Linked DNA regions of Ovis aries. The protein of the gene in region 1 purifies or fractionates together with the protein of each later gene. This does not show direct contact. Links are inferred from orthologs where the notes say so. Each region holds a gene or a part of one and is shown in the gene's direction. Other genes may lie near its edges.

What was found. The genes of interacting proteins can lie anywhere in the genome.
Region 2: the proteins of OCRL (region 1) and SNX9 purify together in Homo sapiens (co-immunoprecipitation; 3 studies listed by BioGRID and IntAct, with this or other methods). This does not show direct contact. The link is inferred for Ovis aries from reciprocal best matches to the Homo sapiens genes OCRL and SNX9.
Region 3: the proteins of OCRL (region 1) and PLEKHJ1 purify together in Homo sapiens (co-immunoprecipitation; 3 studies listed by BioGRID and IntAct, counting the BioPlex papers as one, with this or other methods). This does not show direct contact. The link is inferred for Ovis aries from reciprocal best matches to the Homo sapiens genes OCRL and PLEKHJ1.

Annotation. Positions count from the first base shown.
Region 1 is NC_056080.1:113,486,058-113,493,479, forward strand, and holds the start of OCRL (inositol polyphosphate 5-phosphatase OCRL), read left to right. Parts: upstream 1-2,655; 5' UTR 2,656-2,824; coding exon 2,825-2,863; intron 2,864-2,910; exon of another isoform or gene 2,911-3,137; coding exon 3,138-3,208; intron 3,209-7,422. UniProt on the Homo sapiens protein: Catalyzes the hydrolysis of the 5-position phosphate of phosphatidylinositol 4,5-bisphosphate (PtdIns(4,5)P2) and phosphatidylinositol-3,4,5-bisphosphate (PtdIns(3,4,5)P3), with the greatest catalytic activity towards PtdIns(4,5)P2.
Region 2 is NC_056061.1:82,166,409-82,173,830, forward strand, and holds the start of SNX9 (sorting nexin-9), read left to right. Parts: upstream 1-2,740; 5' UTR 2,741-2,788; coding exon 2,789-3,055; intron 3,056-7,422. UniProt on the Homo sapiens protein: Involved in endocytosis and intracellular vesicle trafficking, both during interphase and at the end of mitosis. Required for efficient progress through mitosis and cytokinesis. Required for normal formation of the cleavage furrow at the end of mitosis.
Region 3 is NC_056058.1:19,177,897-19,185,318, reverse strand, and holds PLEKHJ1 (pleckstrin homology domain-containing family J member 1), read left to right. Parts: upstream 1-2,311; 5' UTR 2,312-2,412; coding exon 2,413-2,506; intron 2,507-2,598; coding exon 2,599-2,666; intron 2,667-2,833; coding exon 2,834-2,900; intron 2,901-3,740; coding exon 3,741-3,831; intron 3,832-3,913; coding exon 3,914-3,977; intron 3,978-4,067; coding exon 4,068-4,133; 3' UTR 4,134-4,634; downstream 4,635-7,422.

The DNA of each region.
Region 1 (7,422 bases):
GTTAGGTATGACACCTAGAGTGTAGAACCTCATAGGTTATCCTTTGTCAGTTATAGTTACTGAAAATATGTTTTGCCAGCCTGTGGCTTGTCTTTTAACTTGTTGATGTTATCTTTTTTTTGCCTGTTCTGTGATTTATTCTATTCACCCAACAATATATACTGGCCAGCCTTCTGAATCAGCTAGTATTTAGAGACCTACCACTTTAATTTTTGCAGCTGCATAGCATTTCACACAGTATGAATGGACCATAGGTTCATTTGTATTTCTTTATATTCTTAAAAAAGAAATGCTCAGATGAACATTCTTGTACATTCTTCTTTGGAAACAGCTACATGTTAACCATATAGTAAATGTCTAGCAGTGCAATTTGTTTGTAACTAAGTATATGTGTCCTTTATATTCTGATATTGCCACGTTTCATACTTTCATGTTATCTTGAAGTGCATACATTTTGATATCTAATGTAGCTAAATGTGTCAATCAATTCCCCTACTTCCTCCTTTTTAGGGTCATAAGTAATCATTCCCATTCCCTAGGTCATAACAATATTCTCCTATTTTCTTCTGAAAGTTGTAAAGATTTGCTTTTCACAGTTAGATCTTTAACCCACAGGGAATTGACTTTTTTCCCCTCTATGGTGTGAGATAGGGATCTAATTTTATAATTCTCCATGTGGATTATCAATATTCCCTGCACCATTTAGTAGATAATCCATTTTCCCTACATTAATTTGAAAAGTCAAATATGCCACGTATCAACTTTCCATATGTGTGTAGACCTGTTTTGGGGCTCAGTATTTGATTCCATTGGTCTTTCTACCTCCATACCACACTGTGTTAATTAATACAGGTTTAAAGTCAGTCTTGATATATAGTTCATCATAGAGTCTTGTGAAGAAGGCAATGAGCACACCACTCCAGTACTCTTGCCTGGAAATTTCATGGATGGAGGAGCCTGGTAGGCTGCAGTCCATGGGGTCGCTAAGAGTCAGACACGACTGAGCAACATCACTTTCACTTTTCACTTTCATGCATTGAAGGAAATGGCAACCTACTCCAGTGTTCTTACCTCGAGAATCCCAGGGACAGGGGAGCCTGGTGGGCTTCCGTCTATGGGGTCACACAGTCAGACACGACTGAAGCAACTTTGCAGCAGAAGCAGCAGCAGCATAGAGTCTTGAACAAAAGAATCAGTTCAGTTCAGTTCAGTTGCTCAGTCGTGTCCGACTCTTTGTGACCCCATGAATCACAGCACGCCAGGCCTCCCTGTCCATCACCAACTCCCAGAGTTTACTCAAACTCATGTCCATAGAGTCAGTGATGCCATCCAGCCATCTCATCCTCTGTCGTCCCCTTCTCCTCCTGCCACTAATCCCTCCCAGCATCAGGGTCTTTTCCAATGAGTCAACTCTTCGCATGAGGTGGCCAAAGTATTGGAGTTTGAGCTTTAGCATCAGTCCTTCCAATGAACACCCAGGACTGATCTCCTTTAGAATGGACTGGTTGGATCTCCTTGCAGTCCAAGGGACTCTCAAGAGTCTTCTCCAACACCACAGTTCAGAAGCATCAATTCTTTGGTGCTCACCTTTCTTCACAGTCCAACTCTCACATCCATACAAGACCACTGAACAAAAGAATAACACAACTGAAACATTACTCTAGGAAGAATATTCTTATGACTGTCAACAGAGTAAAATGGTCAAATGAGATATCACAAGGGCTTACACTCCAGTGATGGCAGTGTGAATGGCAAGAAAACAAAGAATCTAAAAGTAATTCCAAAGAACATATTAATAAGATTTGTTGGCTGATTGGATACGGAGCAATCAGGAGAGCAAGCATATGGGGCTTCCCAGGTGCATGCATGCTAAGTCGCTTCAGTCGTGTCTGACTCTCTGCAACCCTATGGACTCTAGCTTGCCAGGCTTCTCTGTCCATCGGGATTCTCCAGGCAAGAATGCTGGAGTGGGTTGCCATGCGCTTCTCCAGGGGATTTTCTCGACCCAGGGATCAAACCTGCGTCTCTTCCATCTTCTGCTTTGGCAGGTGGGTTCGTTACCACTAGCGCCGCCTGGCAATGCAGGAGACACAAGCAAGCACATGGCTTTGAAATGTCAAACCTGCATCGCTGTGTGAAATAACCGTGGGTTTTTGTCATCCAATGTTTTGCCAACAATGAGTTATATTAGGCAAGGGATGTGGGCCAGGGATAATACATTTGGTGTTTGCCTGCTTACAAGTGAGCTTAAAGGGGGACAGAGAAAGCAAAGGTATGATCTCTGGGGATTTTTCCGATTTAGGGGGTGGAAGGATGGAGTGAGGTGGGAGGACATCTGAGCGGTAGGTCCAGCACGGTCCATTCTGTTAACCATAATAAGGATATTTTGAATGGAGGATGTGGGTCCTAGTGGCCCCAACACCTTTGAGTTATTTGATGGGTATGACTGTACTTTGTTTCTATGGCAACCTTCAAAGTCCCCCAAACAAGTCTGGCGTCACAGACAGCCTTGAAAACTTATCCCTTGCTGGACGTGGGGGAGACGCCCCCAGTCCGTCGGGTTGGCCTGCAGTTCCGCAGCTTGGCCGCAGGGGGCGGAATCTGCGGCGGCCTGGAAAACTGGCGGGGGTGGGAGGCGCCGCTCTCTCTCGGGTCAGGCTCCCGGCTCCCGGCTCTGGGCTCCAGGCTGCGGGCTGCCCGCGCCCAGCACGGAGCTGTTTCTCTAAGGACGCGCAGCCGAGGCTGAGGGGTGTGAGGACGCGGGAGGCAGTATCGTCGGATCAGCCCGCAGTCCGCAGCCCCGCCGAGCCTGGAAGCCGCCGGGATGGAGCCGCCGCTCCCGATTGGAGCCCAGCCCCTTACTGTATCCGCCTGAGAGAAGGGGGAGGGGAGGCCGCGCAGGGCGGGGGTGGGGGTCCGCGGGACTGCGGATCGCGGCGGAGGGGCTGCTAGGGGGCAATCGGGCCCCAAAGCCGAGCCGAGCGGGAGAGGGGGGCCAGCGCGGGAGGCGCTGCCTCGGACGCTGGGGAGGAAGGGTGGGCAGAGGGGCAGGAGCCTCTCGCCACCCTGCACCTCGGGTCCCCTCCTGGGCCGCGCTTGTAGAGAAGACCCTTGACTAGCGCCCGCATACTATCGAGGGTATGGAGATGAAGGGTCCTCTCCGGGAGCCCTGCGCGCTGACCCTAGTCCAGAGGAACGGGCAGTATGAGTAAGTAACCACCTGATACCCACAAAGGAGGGGAGCCTGCCATTACCTCCCAACCCCAAACCGCGACAAGCCACGCACCGTCCTCCCACTGAGGCCACGTGGGCAACAGGTTCGGCCCGGGTGTGAAGTGCCAGTGCTCTAACCACCTGGCTTTCTCCCCAAGTTTGCTCTGGCCTGTGGCTCAGGAAAGGGCTCAATGGGCAGGCAAGCAGGAAGCCTGGGTTCTTAGTTCCTGCCCCTGCAACTGACATGGGTTGTGTAATCCTGGGCTGGTCAATAAAGCTTTCTGGGTCTTAGTGTCCTCATCAGTTTAATAAAAACATGAACTGCCTTACCTTATAGCCTTTGGAGTTAACTGAGAGAATAATAAATATGAAAGTGGTTTACAAAGAAGTAAAAGTGTTGTAAAAACGCTTCATTGTTAACCTTCTCTTAATCTCATTCAACTGGTTCCTCCAGTCTCCCACCCCTTTATTCCATTTGCTTGAAGGCATATTCATTAATTCAGTCATGATTTTGTGTAGGCCAGTAACTGTTTCACTTACTGACTTGACTGCTAGAAAAAGTAATGACATGTATAGAAATGTAAACGACTTTTGGCCTTTCATCAGGGTGTGTTACCTCCCACTCTGCCTTGGACATAAGAGCTCAGTAAAGACTGTTGACTGGTTGATCAAAAGATTTTGATAAGCCATCACTATAGCTGCTGATCTCATTTCCTTGCCACTAATGTTTCATCTAAAGTATCTCTGATGACTATCCTATATAGGTAGGTCCCTATCCCTTTATGCCCCAGCCACCGCCCCTAGTTGTTGGCTGGTTTCTTGACATCAGTGAAGAATTGTCAATCACTTAAATCCTGCCATCCCCCAACAATGAATTCTGCTTAAAAACAACTTTTTTCAGCCCCTGCCTTTAGATTGTCCAGATTCAATCTTTGTCTATGCTGTCTAGTTTACAGAGAAGAAATTTCCATTAGCCTAGCCTGCCCTATTCTGAAACTCTTGGTGCCATTCAAACTGGATGTCAGCTGGTTCTATGGAAGTAGCTCTTCCCTAGATTCTGGTTGGTCAGTTCTGTTGATGTGATAAGTTCATTTTATTTTTCCCAGATTTCATCAAACTGGAAGACCAGTTTAATGAAAGTAAATTCAACAGAAAAGTGAATTGAAAAGTGGAACACCAGTACCACTTCCAAAGGCAAGAATAGAATGGGAAGATGTGAACCTTGGGCAAACCATTAAATTTTTTGTGCCTCGGTTTCCTCTTCTTTAAATTATGAGGATTAAATAAAAATAGCTACAGTGTTGAGATGACCACATCCCAGGATCTGGTCCCTTGGTTCTGTAGGTTTGGAACTGTTCGGCTGATAAGGGAACAAGCGGCTGGCCTTGAGAGAAACACCTCTTTCTATCTGGTCTCATATACTGGAAGCACTTTTAAACTTGCAGTGGTAGCTCTCCTGATTATTTTTATCTTCCCCCCTAGAGAAATCAAATTCTATGTTACAGTTCTGTATAAGTTATGAGTATAACACAAGTCACACTCAATGGCTTGATGTGTGTCAGGTACTCTTCTAAGCACTTGCATGAATTAGTTCATTTAACTCTCATGTGAGGATTGCTGTGAAATTGTAATATTATCATCGTCATCCCCTTTTCCTTGGTGTAGAAATGGAGGTTTAGAGAGGTTAAGTCATTTGTTCACAGTCAGGAAGTAACATAGCTGAGATTTAAAGCCATATAACATCTCAGAATTACATCATATCTGAGAAGTTTCTTTTGAAATCATTTATTGGAGACATTACATTATTGGAGACACCTCATACTGTCAAATCATCTGTATAATCCGTGTCTTTTGGGTGCCTTCTTTAGTTTTGTAGTTCCTGCTGTTAACCATAGGAGAAATTTACTTGAGAGACTAAAATTACAATTGAAAATGACTTTATTGCACACAAGGAATCAAACACTGACATTCTTTTTTTTCAAGGTAAATAGATTATGATGCAACCTGTTGTTTCATCTTTAACCTTCCTTAAACAAATCAGAGTATTTCCTAGGGAAATATTTGTGGACTTGACTTGAATTCCCAGCTTATGTTTTTTGATTTTGGGGGGGGTGGGTCTCATTTCTTTTTTAAATTGATATTTATAACATTATGTTAGTTTCAGGTGTACAATATAATGACTTGATATTTGTATACACTTTAAAATGATCACTACCATAAGTCTTTTTCTGTCTTTGTGCCACGTGGTATGTGGGATCTTGTTTCCGGGGCTAGGGATTGAACCTGTACCCCCTGTATTGGAGGCACAGAGTCTTAACCACTGAATTGCCAGAGAAGTTCCTTCAACATTTTTTTTCTTTTGATGAGAACTTTTAAGACATATTCTCTTAACAACTTTCAAATATACAGTACATTATTATAAACTATAGTCATCATGCTATACATTACAGCCTCAGGACTTAACTATTTTCTAGCTGGACATTTGTACCTGTTGACCCCCTTCACCCATTTCACCCACCCACCCCCATGCTCTGCCTCTAACAGCTGCCAATCTGTTCTCTGGGTCTTTGAGTTCAGTATTTGGGGGTTTTGTTTTTCTGTTTCACACATGAGATCATATGGTATTTGTCTTTCTCTGTCTGCCTTCTTTCATTTAGCATAATGCTCTCAAGGTCCATCCGTGTTGTCTGTTTTGTGTTGGTTTTTAACAAGACAATCCAGTTGAAACTTTACTGTTAATGTTCAACATCATTTCTGTATTACTTTACTTGGGGATTACATTGGTTTGTGTTCATTTTCCTTAAAGTAAGCTCTTTCTCGTTGACCATTATTTTGTCAGTCTTATCTAGTTTCTGGTCTACATCTGGGTTTATAGGACTCTACTCAACTCATGAACTTTGCAGTTTGAGAAGGACCTGCCCCCATATTCTTCTTTCTAATCACCTTAAACTATAAATCCCTGAAAGTTAGGCAAGTAGAATCAGAGCAGAAAAACGGCATTAGTACTTTTATTTCTCTTACTTCTATCTAAGCATTTCTTTCCCCCAAGTTACCCCTTCAAAGTTAACCAATTTGAAAAAAAAAATCAAAAAGCTAAAATGACAAGCCCCCAAAAGACAACAAAATAGAAATTAGGCCCTTCTAAAGAATGACTTCTAAAGTCAAAAGCTGACCAAGTATGTTTAGAAATTCACCTCTCTTTGTAGCTTAATTAAATGTTTATTCAACCAAAGTTATTGATCATCTATTAGGTAAGAGACAAAACTGAATATAATAGGGTCTTTGCTTTCATGGAGTTCAAATCTGAGAGATTCGCATGTAGTTTTTTGTATGTATGTATATAGTTATATATGTACCTGTAATGGAGTCTGTTAAGTGCTATATTTAAGGGACAGGCAAAGGCATGAGGCCACTAGTTCTGCCTGAGGTTACTTCGGAGGAGTTTCACAGGGGAGTTGATAGTTTGAGCTAGGTCTCAGAAGAAAAGAATAGTGCTCCTGGCTCAAAGAACCACCTGAAGAGTGATTTGGGGGAAGTTAGGAGATGTTCAGGATGACCTTTTACCAGTCAGTTACACCTAGATTCTGGACCACTAAGATTAAGTAGTAAGTGAAAATTAATATTTCAGGAATACATAGGAATTTGGAAATCTTGTGTTTCATACTGAGGGGCCAAGTTCAGTCATACTTACCAGAAATATTAGCATTAAATTGTAAACCATGATAAAAACACAGGGATATAAAAGCAATCTGGATGTGATATCTGCTACCTCATTGGTCACTGGATTATTTTGACTGATGCAGCTGGCTGGGCACCTCCTCTTACTTCTCCACGAACCTGTATACTTATTTGAAAAGATAGAATCATTCTTTGATAAAAGCCATGGGAATAAAATCAGAAAGCTAATTGATGAAATTTATAATCCATTTATTCAACAAATGTGAGGGACTGCTACATGCCAGGTGTTGTACTAGGTGCTAGAAATACTGTGGTGAAAAGACAGCCATAGTCCCTTCTCTCATGGTCTTCACACCTAACTGTTAGTTCTTCACTCTGGTATGCGTAATCTGAAGGTGTGTGCACTATAACTCATGCTCTTAAAATTGTAAACTGTTTTTAGGACATAGACTGTGTTCTCCATGGCACTGAACTGTGGGTATTCAGGTACTGATCATCACTAATATCCTTTTAGACCTCAAGCAATATCTA
Region 2 (7,422 bases), on another chromosome or scaffold:
CTTGACTTAGACTGGGGACAGGGAAGATATCCCCAACAAACTCTGTCTGTTGCAAGGGTTCTGGGCAGCTCTGAAGGATGAGTGGGAGGTTAGTGGGTGTTGGTGTGGAGGAGGAGGAGGGGTGATTGGTGGGTATTTCAAAGAAACAACATCAACAAGGTAACCTGAGAGTCCCAGCACGAAATGAAAAAGTGAAGCCCCTTGTTCAAAACTATTAAAAATTTAAAGATGGCGAGAACAGAACATTAAAGCAAGGATGAGGCCCTGTGAGACGACAGAGGTCACACGCCCCATAGCCAGTCCTGGCCTTCTCCATGGAACAGAATGTAAAGATCAGGATTCAGGAGGATGTGGGAGGCCAGGATGGTTGAAGCAGAGCCTGGGGAGGGCAGTGTGAGATGGAGCTGAACATCAGGTTCGCATGAGGATTATGTCAGTGACTACTCTTCCAGGCTCTATAAATTAATGCCCATCTCAATAACATAAGTAGTGACTTCACCTTTATTTAAACATTTATGCTAATTTGCATTGGTCATTCTGAGTTTGGTGTCAACTGGTTTTCTAAAAATGAGCCAGGCTTACAGAACTTGTCCAAGTAGGGAAAGCCTGGACTCTGATCTGCTTGCTTTCTTGGTGCCCAGGATGACTGGGTATCCAGAACTTGCCAAATAAGCATACAGAAAGGCACAGTCACAGGAGGGATCCTCACTTTGCATCTTCTTATCAAAATATGCATTGCTAAACTGCTACAGGGTGCTGCAGCCAGTTTTCAAATAGAAAATAAGGAAAATTCATTACTTACAGTATTATCCAAGTTCAAATCCTGACTTCTCTACATATTACTGTGTGCTTAGCCAAGGGATTTATTTAGTTGTTTGTTAAAATGTAAACTTGCTTTGGGACTTCCCTGGTTGGCTGAGTGGTTAAGACTCCACGCTCCCAATGCAGGGCACTCAGGTTCAATCCCTGGTCAGGGAACTAGATCCCAAATGCTGCAACTAAGACTTTACATGGTGCAACTAAAGATCCCACATCTCACAATACAAGTAGCCCCGGCACAGACAAATAAATAAAAATGAATATTTAAAATGTAAATTTTTTTTAAAGATAAAGCAACACACACACATATTCAAAAATTCTGACAGTAGCCTCTAGTGAATCTTCTCAGCAATTTCTTAGGTATATACTACCTATTTTCATTTTGTTCTTTTACACAAATGGATTGTACTGTACAGAATGTTCCTTTTATCATTACCTCTTTTTTTTTTTTTGGCAAAGCTGTGCATGGCATGTGGGGTCTTAGTTGCTTGTGTTAGTTTCACAGTCGTGCCTGAGTCTTTGAGACCCCATGGACTGTAGCCCACCAGGCGCCTCTGTCCATGAAACTCTCCAGGCAAGAATACTGGGGTGGTTTGTCATTCCCTCCTTCGTGGGATCTTCCCACCCAGGGATGGAACCCATGTCTCTCACCTCTCCTGCACTGGTAGGCAGGTTCTTTCTCACTTGGGCCACCTGGGCTTCCCTGGTGGTTCAGGTGGTAAAGAATTTGCCAGCAATGCGGGAGACGTTGGTTCGATCCCTGGGTTGGGACGATTCCCTGGAGGAGGAAATGGCACCCTGCTCCAGTAAGGACAGAGGAGCCTGGTGGGATACAGTCCACGGGGTCCCAAAGAGTCGGACACGATTGAGCGACTAACAAACAGCATGATTGATAATAGCCGTAGCTCCCGAACTCAACAAACACAAAAATTCACCGAAAATGCTTTAGTACCATATCCATTTAAAACCTCTTTGTAGAAGGTAACCAGTTAAATTTCTGGAGATCAAATAGAATATTTTCGAGAGGACAAAATTTGACATTAATTGTACCGCTTTCCTCGCTTAAAGATGAATTTTGATAGTTGCCTCTTTTACGAGGTACATATCCCCGTGATAAAATAGAATGTACTGTAATAATATTTCCATCAAGAGATGTCTTTCAGTCACATCTTTCGTACTTGAGCGAAAATCTTGCTATTCAACTCATTCATGTATTATTGATAACAAAGGACACACATCCAACTCTGAAGAAAAATGGAAATTTTTAAGACTTCTAAAATTTCCATTTCGGGAAACCTGTTGGGTCTCCCCCTAACCTCCGGGGCCCGGAGGCGTTTTTTAAATTTATCAGGAGTCCAGAAGGAGGTTAACGGGACGCCTCAGAACGAAAGCCCCAAGCGTCGGGGCCCTGAAGCTCCGGGCCGGGGACCACAGCCCGCGGGCAACTCCAGGCGGGCGGCGGGTCTTCCGCGAAGGGCCAGCGGACCTGGAAGCCATTGCTGCGCTCCGTGCCGGCTGCGTTCTCCACACTCATTTCACTCAGCCCCGAGCACGACCGGCCCCACAGCCATGCCGACGCGGGACAAAGACCCCGTCCGCGACTCGAGCCCGTCGTGCTGGGGGGCCCCGTTGTATCTCCACAGCGAAACACTTCAGTCGCGGTGACCGGCTGAAGGGCCGCTCGGGACTCGGCTCCCCGGCAGGCGCTCCCTCATAAGCGTGTCCCTCACTCCCGTCCACCGTCCCCACGGCGGGGCAGCCAGGCGGGACGCGGTCGGTGGGGGGACCATGATCCGGCCCGACCCCGGCCGCCGCTCGGGGGACGCGGCCCCGAGCCCTGCGACAAAGGGCGCCGGCGGCGCGGCCCGAGGCGGAGGCTCCGGGCGGGGGCGGAAAGTGGGAGAGGAGGCCGGGCCGGCCCAGGGCACCGGGCGCGCTTCCGCCGGCCGCGCCGCGCACGCCGCGGTAGATGGGAGGCTCGGCCGGCGGGGGCGGGGGCCGCGCAGCCGGGGAGTTTCAGGAACTGGAGGAGCGGGGCGGCGGCTGGAGTCGCCCAGAGCCGAGACTCGGGGCCGGGGCGGAGCCGCCGCCGCGCCGGGGCCCAGCCGTAGCTGCCGCCGCCGCCGCCGCCCTCGCTTTCGTCCGGCCGCCTGGGGCCGATAGCCGCGGCGCGGGAGAGGAGCCGACCGTCCCGGGCCGAGGGCGGGGGGGAGATCCGCCCGCCATGGCCACCAAGGTGAGGGGAGCGCGGCCCGGGCCCCGGGCCGGCCGCTCGGCCCTGCGGCGGCGCGGGGGAGGGTCGCGGCCGGGGGCGGGGGCGCGGGCGGCGGCGCCGCCGGGGAGGCCGAGGGGTCGCGCCGGGGCCCACCCAGCTCGGGCCGGGCTCGGGGCACGCAGGGCGGACGAGGGGCCGGGGCCGGGGCGCTCGGGGTCTCGGCTGGGGGGCGCGGGGCGGGACCCCGGCCGCTCGCGGCGCCGTCTGCAAAGTTTGCGCCTGAGCGTGTGGGCCGCGGCCGGGCACGGAGGGAGGGAAAGTTCCCGCAGCTGCCCGGCGCCCGCCCTGAGGAGCTGCCCGCCCGCCGGGAGCCCCCGACTCGGTCCCGAGTGGAGTCCACTCTCCGCCGCTCCGCGCGTCCGGCCGCCGCCGCCGCGGGAGCCGCGTTCTCTCCTCCCTCCGCAGAGGGTGGGACCCCCCGGCGCCGCGGGCAGCTTTCGGGGGTCCGACCCGCGCCCGGCCGGACTGGGAATTTAAAATGCAGGCCGGAGAGTCAAGGCTCCTGAGGAGGGAAAAAAACCCCAGTGAAACGTCCCGCGCGCTTCCACTTCCCTCAATTTTCTTGTGTTGTGTTTTTTTTTTTTTCCTCTTTTGTTTTGCTACCTTTTCGATTTGAATGTTATTTCCAGCATGAATAAAATACCAAGAGGGAAATGACTCTGCTTTCAATTACGTTGTTTGCTTTAAAAAAAAAAAAAAAAAAGGTCCAGGCCCAAATTACGTGGTGGAACTTTGAGTCGCGCTTAGTTAATTGGCCAGGAGCGGTGGTTTGCTTATTTTACAGTATTGTCGGCGAAATTAGCGTTCACCCTTCGCTACCTTCCTCCCCCAGCTCCTTGGGGCTGGGGCGTTTAGTTCTCGACGGCCACTGACTAGGGAAAGCCACGCTCCCCTCCAGGAGCCAGGGGTGGGGTTTGAGTTGACTTTCTTTTTGATTTTGGAAGTAGTTTTAGTAATGCCCCTTTTATTAACATCAGAACCCTCTACCGTGTTTATTTTTTAAACCTCACTTCTTGGGTTGGTGAAAGCCTTAGATTTGTTGCTGTTGGGTTTTTGGTTTTGGTAGAGAGAGAAAACTTAGAAAACTGGTAAGTTTAAAACCCCTTTCGAAGATCATATTGATATTTCAGCCTGTGAAATTTTGTGTTCTGTTTCTGTCTAGGTGCAGTGTGTTTTTTGCCTTTTTTTTTTTTTTTTTTTTTTGATGGAGATTCTTATCCGGGGAACCTGTTGCCTGCTGTTACTGAAATAATTGTGAAGTGAAGTTGCTCAGTCGTGTCCGACTCTTTGCGACCCCATGGACTATAGCCTACCAGGTTCCACCGTCCATGGGATTTTCCAGGCAAGAATACTGGAGTGGGTTGCCATTTCCTTCTCCAGGAGATCTTCCCAACCCAGGGATTGAACCTGGGTCTAAGGCATTGTAGGCAGACACTTTACCGTCTGAGCCACCAGGGAAGTGGTACTGAAATAATTACTTTCTTGTTATTATTGGCTAAGCTCTATCTTCCCTGGTGGGCTCAGCTGGTAAAGAATCCGCCTGCAGTGCGGAGGAACTGGGTTCGATCCCTGGGTCGGGAAGATCCCTGGAGAAGGGAAAGATTACCCACTCCAATATTCTGGCCTGGAAAATCCCATGGACGGTGGAACCTGGTAGGCTGCAGTCCATGGAGTTGCAAAGAGCTGGACACGACTGAGAGACTTTAAATTCACTTGAGACTCTGTCTTGGTTTTCTTAGATGTGATAGAACTTTGCTACCTTTTTAACATGTATCATTTCATGTTGATCTTTTTAGAAACAAAACTTTAGATCAAATATTTCTAAGGAAATTTGACTTTGAGGTTTGTTGCCAAACATTTAAATTACCAATTACACGTCGTATTTTGCACTCATCTTACAACCTTGAAAGCTGTTTATGGTAGATAGCTATTCCTTTGATGGTCAGCGTTTGATACTTTGCACCCTGATCTACTGGCCCATGTTAGACTGTCCATTCAGTGGGACTCAGCTTAGCAACTAGTGCTGGTATATATAACGAAAATTTTATCTGATACTTAAACCTGAACTTGTATGCTCAGTTGCGTCCTGCTCTTTGCAACCCCAGGACTGTAGCCCATCAGACTCCTCTGACCATGGAATTTTCCAGGCAAGAATACTGGAGTGGGTGTTTTTCCATAAAATTAGAAAGAATAGTTTTTGTACTAAACTTGAATTGTGTTTATCCACACTAAGCACAAGCCTTAAAGCATGGATAAACACTTCCTACTTTATTGTCTTCTCCACAGAAGGCAGGTAACAGTCATTCTTTCACCTTTCTAATCACTATTCCACATGGTACTCCTTTCCATGTTTACATTGTGACAAGCCACTTCTGGTTTCAAAAACAAAGGAGAAGCACTTACATAGGAGTCTTCCTCAGTTTTCCCACTTCCTGGTGATTCTTACATCAAACCGAAGTTTCATTTTTTTAATTGTTCCCAGAGAGTAAATTTGTCCTTGTTTTGTTTCATACTCCCTTCCATCCATACCATTACCAGCATCTGAGTAGTTTGAGGGTTTTCCTTTCCTTTCTTTAATTTTAATTGGTTAGGTTAACTTTTTAGTAAGAGCGAATAAGAATATATTTTTTAGTAAGTAATACTGTCTGACTTTTAAAAAATTGGATCAAATGGCATTCAGGCTCCTGCCACAAGCATTAAGTGATGAGAAATAAACAGAATTTGTGGATATTTTAGGTAGTGTCAGAAAATGCCTTCAGTTGTCTTCAGATATAATATTCTGATGTAATGCTCTTACATGTTTTCGTGAAGATAACAGTTATCTTTGAACTATCATGCTTTTTAGAAAACTACACTGGTATATTCACAATAAAAGAAATTATCTTTTAGGAGAAAAACTTGAATTGGCTAGTTCTTTGCTGCCAAAGAAAATTAATCAGTAACTGCACACTTGAAAGAAATGATCTGTTCTTGTTTCTAATCATTACTGAGAATGCTGAATTCACCTTGAGTCCCCGTCTTGTCGCATTTAATAAATACAACAAAAGGCTAATGTGAGTGTGTAGCCTGGACTTCTAGGAACTCCAGGTTATATTTTTACATAGTCATATGGTGGACTTAGGAGTAAATTACTTAAGGGAAAGAAATTCTTTTTCTCTCTTTTTCTTCTGCCAGGATATAGCAAGAGAGACCTGAAATAGTTAATGGAAATTAGTCCGTAGCTGTGTAATTTAGCTGTAATTTCCATGTCACAATTAACCTTTGGAACTAATCTGAATCCTTTTGTGCTTATGTAGACACCTTTTATGTTGTTACATGTGTAGTTGCTAAGTTGTGTCCAACTCTTTGCAACCCTGTAGACTGTAGCCCCAGAGAAGGCAATGGCAACCCACTCCAGTACTCTTGCCTGGAAAATCCCATGGATGGAGGAGCCTGGTAGGCTGCAGTCCATGGGGTCTCGAAGTCGGACACGACTGAGTGACTTCACTTTCACTTTTCTCTTTCATGCATTGGAGAAGGAAATGGCAACCCACTCCAGTACTCTTGCCTGGAGAATCCCAGGGAGGGGGGACCCTGGTGGGCTGCTGTCTATGGGGTTGCACAGAGTCAGACACGACTGAAGCGAGTTAGCGGCAGCAGCAGACTGTAGCCTGCCAGACTCCTCTCTGTCCATGGGATTCTCCAGGCTAGAGTACTGGAGTGAGTTGCCATTTCCTTCTCCAGGGGACCTTCCTGACCCAGGGATCAAACTTGCCTCTCCTGTACTGGCACGGGTTCTTTACTGCTGAGCTACACTTTTAGGAGTAATCATTAGAACCAAATTTTAAGAATCCCTGTTTTTGGTTTTGTTTTTTGAATTTTTCTTTCCGTCTCCAGTATCTGAAGTTGTATATTTGTTACAGTGCTTGTTTGGTTGAATGGAGTGAGGGTGTAATATTGAAAATACCAGTATTGCTCAAGACTGTTACATGATATATATTAGTGAGAAGAGTTTAGAAAGCATACTTTGTAGTCTCTCCCGAGCAAAAACCTGTTTACTGTAGAATTTTATTGAAGAAGAGAGTAGAAATAGCTTTCTAAAGGGTCTTAAAGATTTAGTTGTTTTTGATAGTTTCTTTTTTGAACAGTATGGAAAATGGTAACCGTTCAGTTTTGCATGATAGTACTATATGCTTCCCTGGTGGCTCAGATGGTGAAGCGTCTGCCTGCAGTGCAGGAGACCTGGGTTCAATCCCTGGGTTGGGAAGATCCCCTGGAGAAGGAAATGGCAACCCATTCCAGTATTCTTGCCTGGAAAATTCCATGGACTGAGGAGCCTGGTAGGCTGC
Region 3 (7,422 bases), on another chromosome or scaffold:
AGTATTATCAAAGAAACAACCTAAAAAAATAAAAAACTCTCCAATAAATAGACCATGAAGTTTCCTAGTAGATGGAAAAAAACTCAGCAACAAGAGGTTAGAAACCAGGATGAGATGAGAGCCTTCAGAACAGCAGGAACACATAAGGCAGGGCAAGGCTTTTCCCAATTCCCATCAGGGGCTTTCAATCTAGAACTTTACACCCACACTTCTGACTGTCGGGATGGATAAAGCCATTTTCAGCAAACTGAGGACTCAAACTGAACAAATGAGTCGACTTCTTCAAAACCTACCTGAAGAGCTCTGATGGGAAAAAGAGGAGACAGTGGGACTGAAAACAGAAACCAGCCCATGGGAGCCTGGACAGAAGGTTCTAGGATAGTTACTCAGCTGCTGAGTGGAGCTCCAGTCCTCAGTGGAACAGGAGGATGCCAGCGCTGAGAGGGAAGTTTGCAGGCAGGAAAAGAAAAAAGACATCCATTGTTTCAACCCATGGCAAACTACAACCCATACGCTTGCAAAGAGCGCACTCATCCGAAAAGCCCCTGATGCTTGGAAAGACTAACCACGAAAGAAGGGGGCAGCAGAGGATGGGATGGTTGGATGGCATCACTTACTCAATGGACATAAGTTAAGTGTAGTTGCTCAGTCGTGTTCGACTCTTTGCAACTGTAGCCCACCAGGCTCCTCTGTCCATGGGATTCTCCAGGCAAGAATACTGGAGTGGGTTGCCATTTCCTTCTCCAGGGGATCTTCCCGACCCAGGGATCGAACCTGGGTCTTCCGTATCACAGGCAGATACTTTACCCTCTGAGCCACCAGGGAAGCCCCAATGGGCATAAGCTTGAGCAAACTCTGGGAGATGGTGAAAGACAGGGAAGCCTGATGTGCTGCAGCCCATGGGGTCAGTCAGATGCGACTGAAAAACAAGGCGTGTGAAATAATGATGCTTTGAGAGAAAAATTAATAACCAGCAAAATCAGACAAATAGGAAGAATGAAGAAATGAAAGCGCTCTGGGGGGAGGGTTAAGAGGAGAACAGTACCCTCAAAAAGCAGCACGGCTCAATACAGTACCCGCCTGAGCAGCGAACGCTATTTTCAGCCCTAGAAAATAAGACTGACAATCTGACTGAAGCTCAGGTTAACCACATCCATGGTATGAAGGATGAGGCTGCAGCGGGTGAGGGGGAGGCAGAAATGAGACCTCAGCAGTCACGGTAGGAAGTTGAGAGACCACTTCTACACCCGACTCAGGCTATTTACAAGCTCAGGTCGCTCGTACTCAGCTGCCAAAGGGCAGAAGGGAGAAGGGGGCCGGGCTCCCAGAGTGACAAGGGGAGAAGTCATTTAAACTCTGGGCTTCGCTCGCTAAACGCGCCTAGCTAACGGGTCTTGGGCCTCGAGCCAAGAGATCCGCCTCTGGACCTTCCTCACTCCTCGGCGGGCCTGGAACCAGGCGCGCCGTCACCCCCACCTATTACAGGAACCAGGTAAGCCCCGGACCACAAAGCCAGCAAACCAGAGGACTCAGGGAAGGCGCCCCGGGTCCGCTGCGACCCGACCCGACCCAACGGGCCTTTGCAACCGGAGCTCCCTGCGGGAGGGTGGGGGTGCTGGGCCGGCCCAGCGCCCGACGGGTAGAGAGCCGATGCCGCCCTCAACCCAGCACTTCAGCCACTCCCCTCCAAGGAGTCCCCCGGGGCCGCCGCCCTTGTCTCGCACTACTACTAATCCTCACCCACGATTTCGTCAAGTCCACGGGCTCCTCACACACTGCCTTGGTCTATTCAGGCGCCACAGCCACCGCGACGACCTCGTCCTGCGCACGCGCGCCGAGAGCTCAGAAAGCACTTCCGGGGACAGGACGGGCCGGGCCTCCTGCGTACGCATGCCCGGCCCGCCCAATGGCGCGGGCGACACGCTGATAGGCTGAAGGAAAGAGGGGAGCGGAGTGCAAACCGGAAGTCGAAGTGCGCGTGCACCCCGGATAATTTCGTTCTTTCGGTCAGTACCGCTCGCGCAGGGCCAGTTTTCGCGGGGAGGGTAGTTGCGACTCGCCTCCCACCCCTGGCGCCTGTTCGTTTGAATAACGGGCACCACCGGTCGTGGGGATGCTTTATTGTTCCCATCCCGGGTTCACGTTATTACATGGTCATATATGACACCGTCCATTTTGCCTATAGTCCCGTTCGCCCCAGGAAGTGCCCGCTCCGTCTTGACGGCCTCCGAGACGCTTCCGCCACACGCCGGTGATTGACAGACCGAGCGGCCCGGGAGCGCGCAGGCGTAGTAGCTCCGGCTGCGCTTCCGGGACGGCGCCGTAGGACCCTTGGCGCCGGCCTCGGCGAGCGTTGGGACGGCGGCCGGGAGGGCGCGGCCGGCGTTCCGCGTTCTGGGTACCGGCGGCGCCATGCGCTATAACGACAAAGAGCTGCAGGCGTTATCCCGGCAGCCTGCCGAGATGGCAGCCGAGTTGGGCATGCGGGGACCCAAGAAAGGCAGCGGTGAGCGGTCCGGGACGCCGGAGCGGGCGGGCGGCTGAGGGGGCGGGAGTGGGCAGGTACTGAACCCGCGCGATCCCGCCTTGTGCTCGCAGTGGTGAAGCGGCGGCTGGTGAAGCTGGTGGTCAACTTCCTTTTCTACTTCCGGACGGACGAGGCGGAGGTAGGGTGGTAGAGAGGATCGGAGTGGGGGTTAGGTTCGGAGTTCGGAGTCGGGGACGGGGCGGGGTCGAGGTCGGGTGTCAGAGCAGGGCGGGCTCGGGAATCGGGGGCGGGGCAAGGGGCGGGCGGGTTCCCGGGGTCCTCCCCCATGCGCCTATTTGCCCGCAGCCCATTGGAGCCCTGCTGCTGGAGCACTGCAGAGTCATCCACGAAGAACCCAGCAGCTTCTCCATCAGTGAGTGCGGCCTGGGACGAGGCTGCTTGTCCCCGCCCCGGCGTGGCCCCACCTAAGTCCCTAGAGGCTGAGTGCAGTGTCCGGGCAGCCTCACGCGCTGGCCCTCCCGTGGGGCCCAGTAGCCTAGACGGAAGCGATCCGAACGGCCGCCGTTGTCTTGTTGGGGAGCATTTCTCTCCCGGCGTGCCTCGCTGCAACTGTTCCATTTCTCCTGTGAGCAGGGCTTGTGCTGGGGATCCGGGAGGGTTTTCTTCTCGGTGCTTTTGAGAGGGTGGGGTCTGCAGGGGGAAAGATAGAGCTTCTACTAGTTTCCGCTGGAGGCCGCAAGAAAGTGCCACAGACTGGGAGGCTTAAATAGAAAAATGTATTCCTCCCTGTTCTAGGGGGCGAGAAGTCTGACATCAGAGTGTCAGCGCGTCTGCTTCCTTCTGAAGGAGAATCTGCCCAGCTTCTGGAGGGGTCGTTGGCAAAGCTTGTCTTGTAGAAACATCTCCCCATCTTTGCCTTCATTTTCTGGGATCTTCTCTCTTGTGTGGTTGGGTCTAGGTTCGGCTTTTCTTAACAGCAGTTCTATTGGATTAGAAGTTCACCCTCCTGCGGTGTGAGCTCAGCTTAACCACTTAACTACCTATGCCTGTAGTGACTCTGTGTCCAGATAGAGTCCCTGTCTTGGGAGATACACGTTTTAAGACGTGAACGTATGTTTTCTGGGGGACACGATTCAACCCACAGCCAGCTGTTGGGAAGCAGTGGGCCCAGACCGGGGCTGTAAAAGGAGGTTGAGGCCTGGGTGGGGGAGGTGGGAGGGGCAGGGACATATGGGGGCTGCTCCCTTCCCAGGCTTCCTGGAGGACCCAGAGAGGAAGTACCACTTCGAGTGCTGCAGTGAGGAGCAGTGTCAGGAGTGGATGGCTGCGCTGCGTCGAGCCAGGTGGGGTGCTGACAGAACCTAGGGCCAGGCGGAGCCTAGGGCAGTGCGGGGCCCTGGGGGCTCACTCAGCTTTCCTCTCCAGTTACGAGTTCATGCGGAGGAGCCTCATTTTCTACAGGAATGAGATCCAGAAGATGACTGGCAAGGTGTGTGGGGGGGTGGGGGCAGGGGGCGGGGGATGGGGGCCTCCTGGGCTCAGGCTTTAAGCCCACCACCCTTGTTGTCCACCCACGCAGGACCCCCTGGAACAGTTTGGCATATCAGAGGAGGCCAGGTTCCAGCTGAGCGGCCTGAAGGCATGAGGCCGGGTGGGGCTCCCCAGCTGTCCTGTTGTCGGACAAGGCCTCCCTGCCCTCCCGGCCTCAGATTTCCTGACCAACCCTGGATTTGCTGTGGGAAGTGTCTTGGTTTAAAGACTTCAAACGCCCCAGGGTGGGCAGCGGCTGCCTTGTTGCGAGGAACCACCCAGCAAGTGTCCTCTAGACACACTGGGAACCACTGGACTGGTTTGGTACGTTGGTGCTACCTGCTGCTGCCAGGGGACCAGTGCCCCCTCCCATGAGCTGTGCCCTGCCCTTTGGGTGCGTTGACTCAGGGCCTGGCAGGTGCAATTCTCCTGCGCTGGGCAGGCTGAATGTATAAAGTTAGGTGAAGCTGTGAAGGGCGTGGGACTGTGCTGGGGCCACTGTGAATTCTCCTGCTGAAGGGGCAGGCCCTGGCCGGACGCCTCTGGGCAGTGCTGGAAGGCTTGCCTTTGGGGTGGCCAGTATATTCTGTTCAAATAAAGGTACCTCTTTTCCATACGGGCCAGTGGTGCTGTGACTGCAGAGAGGGACGTGTGTCCTCTGCTGTGCGCCTGTCCTGCATCTGCACAGCCGTTCCTGAGGGAGACGAGGCTCTTCCCAGGTTCAAGGTTGAAGTGCCTGGGAGCAACAGAGTGGGGGGGCCTGGAACCCAGAGCCAGGAAGGTCAAGGGGGGCTGGGACCCAGCCTACAGAGCTTCTGGCACTCACAGGCCCCGTCTGAGTGCCAGCAGGACCTCAGGAAGGGTTTGTTGGTGGCGTTAAGGTCGCTAAGTAGTCGGTTTAGGAAGGCTAAAAGGAGACTACCCTGGGTGGTCCTGACCTGGTTATAGTTGTCAGTCCTTGAGCAGGGGCTGGGCCTCTGAGACCGGGGTTGGGGAAGTCATTGTGACTTGTCTGTCGTGGCCACCGTGCCTGTCTTCAGGAGCAGGTGGGGCCTCTACTGGGAGCGACCGTCCTCCCTGCTTGGGGACGGTAAGCACTGCCCTGGGCCCTATGCACTCCAGGACCTTGCCGTGTCATCACCAGGAAGAAACACTGCTGCCAGACTAGGTTCAAGTGAAAACAGGTATTTTATTACAGCGTCTAGAGATGGATATGCAGTGCAGTGGGGTTCCCTTGGGAAGGGAAGGGAGTTAGCACCCCAACTGAAACACAGGCTACCGAAACGACAAAGCCAAGCCCGTCTGCATTACAAACCAAGGTGCGACAGAGCGAGCGTGGATGGATGTGTGAGAACAAACAGTCCTACAGTGGATGGGCGGGATAAATAACGGAGGAATCTTAAATAGTTCACGATTTGACTTGTAGCTAAATGGAGGGCTGTGTCCCCTGACCAGAGGGTGTCTTCATTGTTAGGGTTTCCTGAGCAAAGCAACCGTAGCCATCGGACTTCCTGGAGTGGAGTGAAGCACCTGGGTCAACAGCAGCAGTGGGGCTCCTCCCCACGCCCAATACCCTGGTGCCCCCTCCTTCCTGTGGCAGCGGCACCCAGGCCAAGGCAAGGGGCTGGGGCCGGATGGTGGGTGTGGAGAGGCCAAGCTGGCCCCACTGTGGGGCAGGCCCTGTGCACGTGTGTCTCTCCCTGTAGCTTGGAGGGCAGACAGGGCACGGTGGCCCACAAGCCATGCAGTGTTTGTGTACAGTGTCATTTGTTCAGATGGGGCTCCTCAGGCAGCCCCGCAGCTTTCTGTTGGGGGTGGGGAGCCTCTTGAAGAGGGGTGAGGGCAGGGGGCAGGAAAGCACCATCATGCACCCACCAGGAGCACCGACTTGGGGTGGAGGGGGCAGGGCAGGGCCGGTGGTCACAGGAGGAGGGGAGGGCTCCATCTCCAGCTTCAACTGCCGCTCTGAGCAGTGGAGAGGTGGCCAGAGGTGGGACACTGTCCTGCTCTGATCCTGTGGCCTGTATCTCACCGGGCCTCCACCTGCCAGAAAGGCTGGCTCCAGACCCACCCCAGGAATGAGGTGGCGGGCTGGGGCTCGGCTACCATACTGATCCTTGGGGCAGCAGAGGGCCCCACTCCACAGAGGTGGGTGGTGGTGGCCAGGCTGGGGAAGGCTCAGGTTAGATCCCTACATGGAGGCCCACCTCTTGCGCTCCTTGGTGGGTGCCACCTGGTGGGGGGTGGTGAGCACCTGAGGACAGGGCTCTGACTGCCCACGCCCAGCCTTTGGCTGGGTGCCCACCTTGGGGTCTGGGCCCCCTGCCAGCACCTTTGGCCAACATTGGCCCTTCCAGGGAGGCACACAGACAACACTGCTGCACCAAGGACCCAGCATAGTCACAGATGCTGTGTGGCGGACGGAGAGCCCCACCCACCACCTCGGAGCCTTAGGGACCAGCCCTCCTGCCCTGCCACCCCACCACATCCCTCCCGCATGGAGGGGTGTGGCTGTGGGGGGCGGGGGGAGAGGGTCACTCCAGCTATGGGATGGTGGGTGGGTGGGCCCTGGGCCAGCACCTATGTGCACGTGAATAAACAGCAAGGTTTCCCCTCACTTTTCTTTCTTCCTTTTTCTCTTTAGTTTACTGTGTATTCATCATACAGTCTAAAAATAAATGAAGTCAAGTCTATGAAATTTATAAATTTTCATCACATCTCTATAAAATACTGTCACCCGTCAGCGTGACTCCCCTGTAGACACACCAGGCACCCACGACTAACCACCCGCGTCCCCAGCCACCACTGGCGCTGACCCTCCCTGGGCAGCTGTGGCGCGGGCCCAGACGAGCAGAGACGTACAAAAGTAAATGCACTTGTCACACGGCGGGTTCCAGACCCTCCTCGCGAGCACCACTCAAACGGGTCCCCTCCTCCTCGAGGCACCCTGCTGCAGCCTGGCCGTGCGGCCACCATTCCTATGCCAAAGGCGTGATGCAGACCCAGGGGCCGAGCGAGGCCGTTCACAGTGCGAGGTGGGGCGGGCCTCCACCCGGAGCTGGGGCCTTTGGTATAGGAAGAGCGTTAGATAAACAGGGCAGGCACGGGGCCTGGCGTCGGCGTTGGTCAACCCCGAGAGTCAGCACCAAGAGTGTGGAGGCCGGCCTGCGACGAGATAGCACCGGGCAGCTGGCGGTCCCCGTGGCGGCCAGTCCTCGGGCAGATGGACGTCTTTTACATAGATCCTTTCACATATAGTATCTACATCTCTCAATAGGTTGCCTTTACGGCTTCGGTGGAATAAAATAAGTCAAAGTTGTTTATACTTTTTAAAAAACGATAAATACTTTATCTAAAACTATGGACAGTACAGGCTGGAGCTGGGCCCCAGCGAGCCGTCTCCG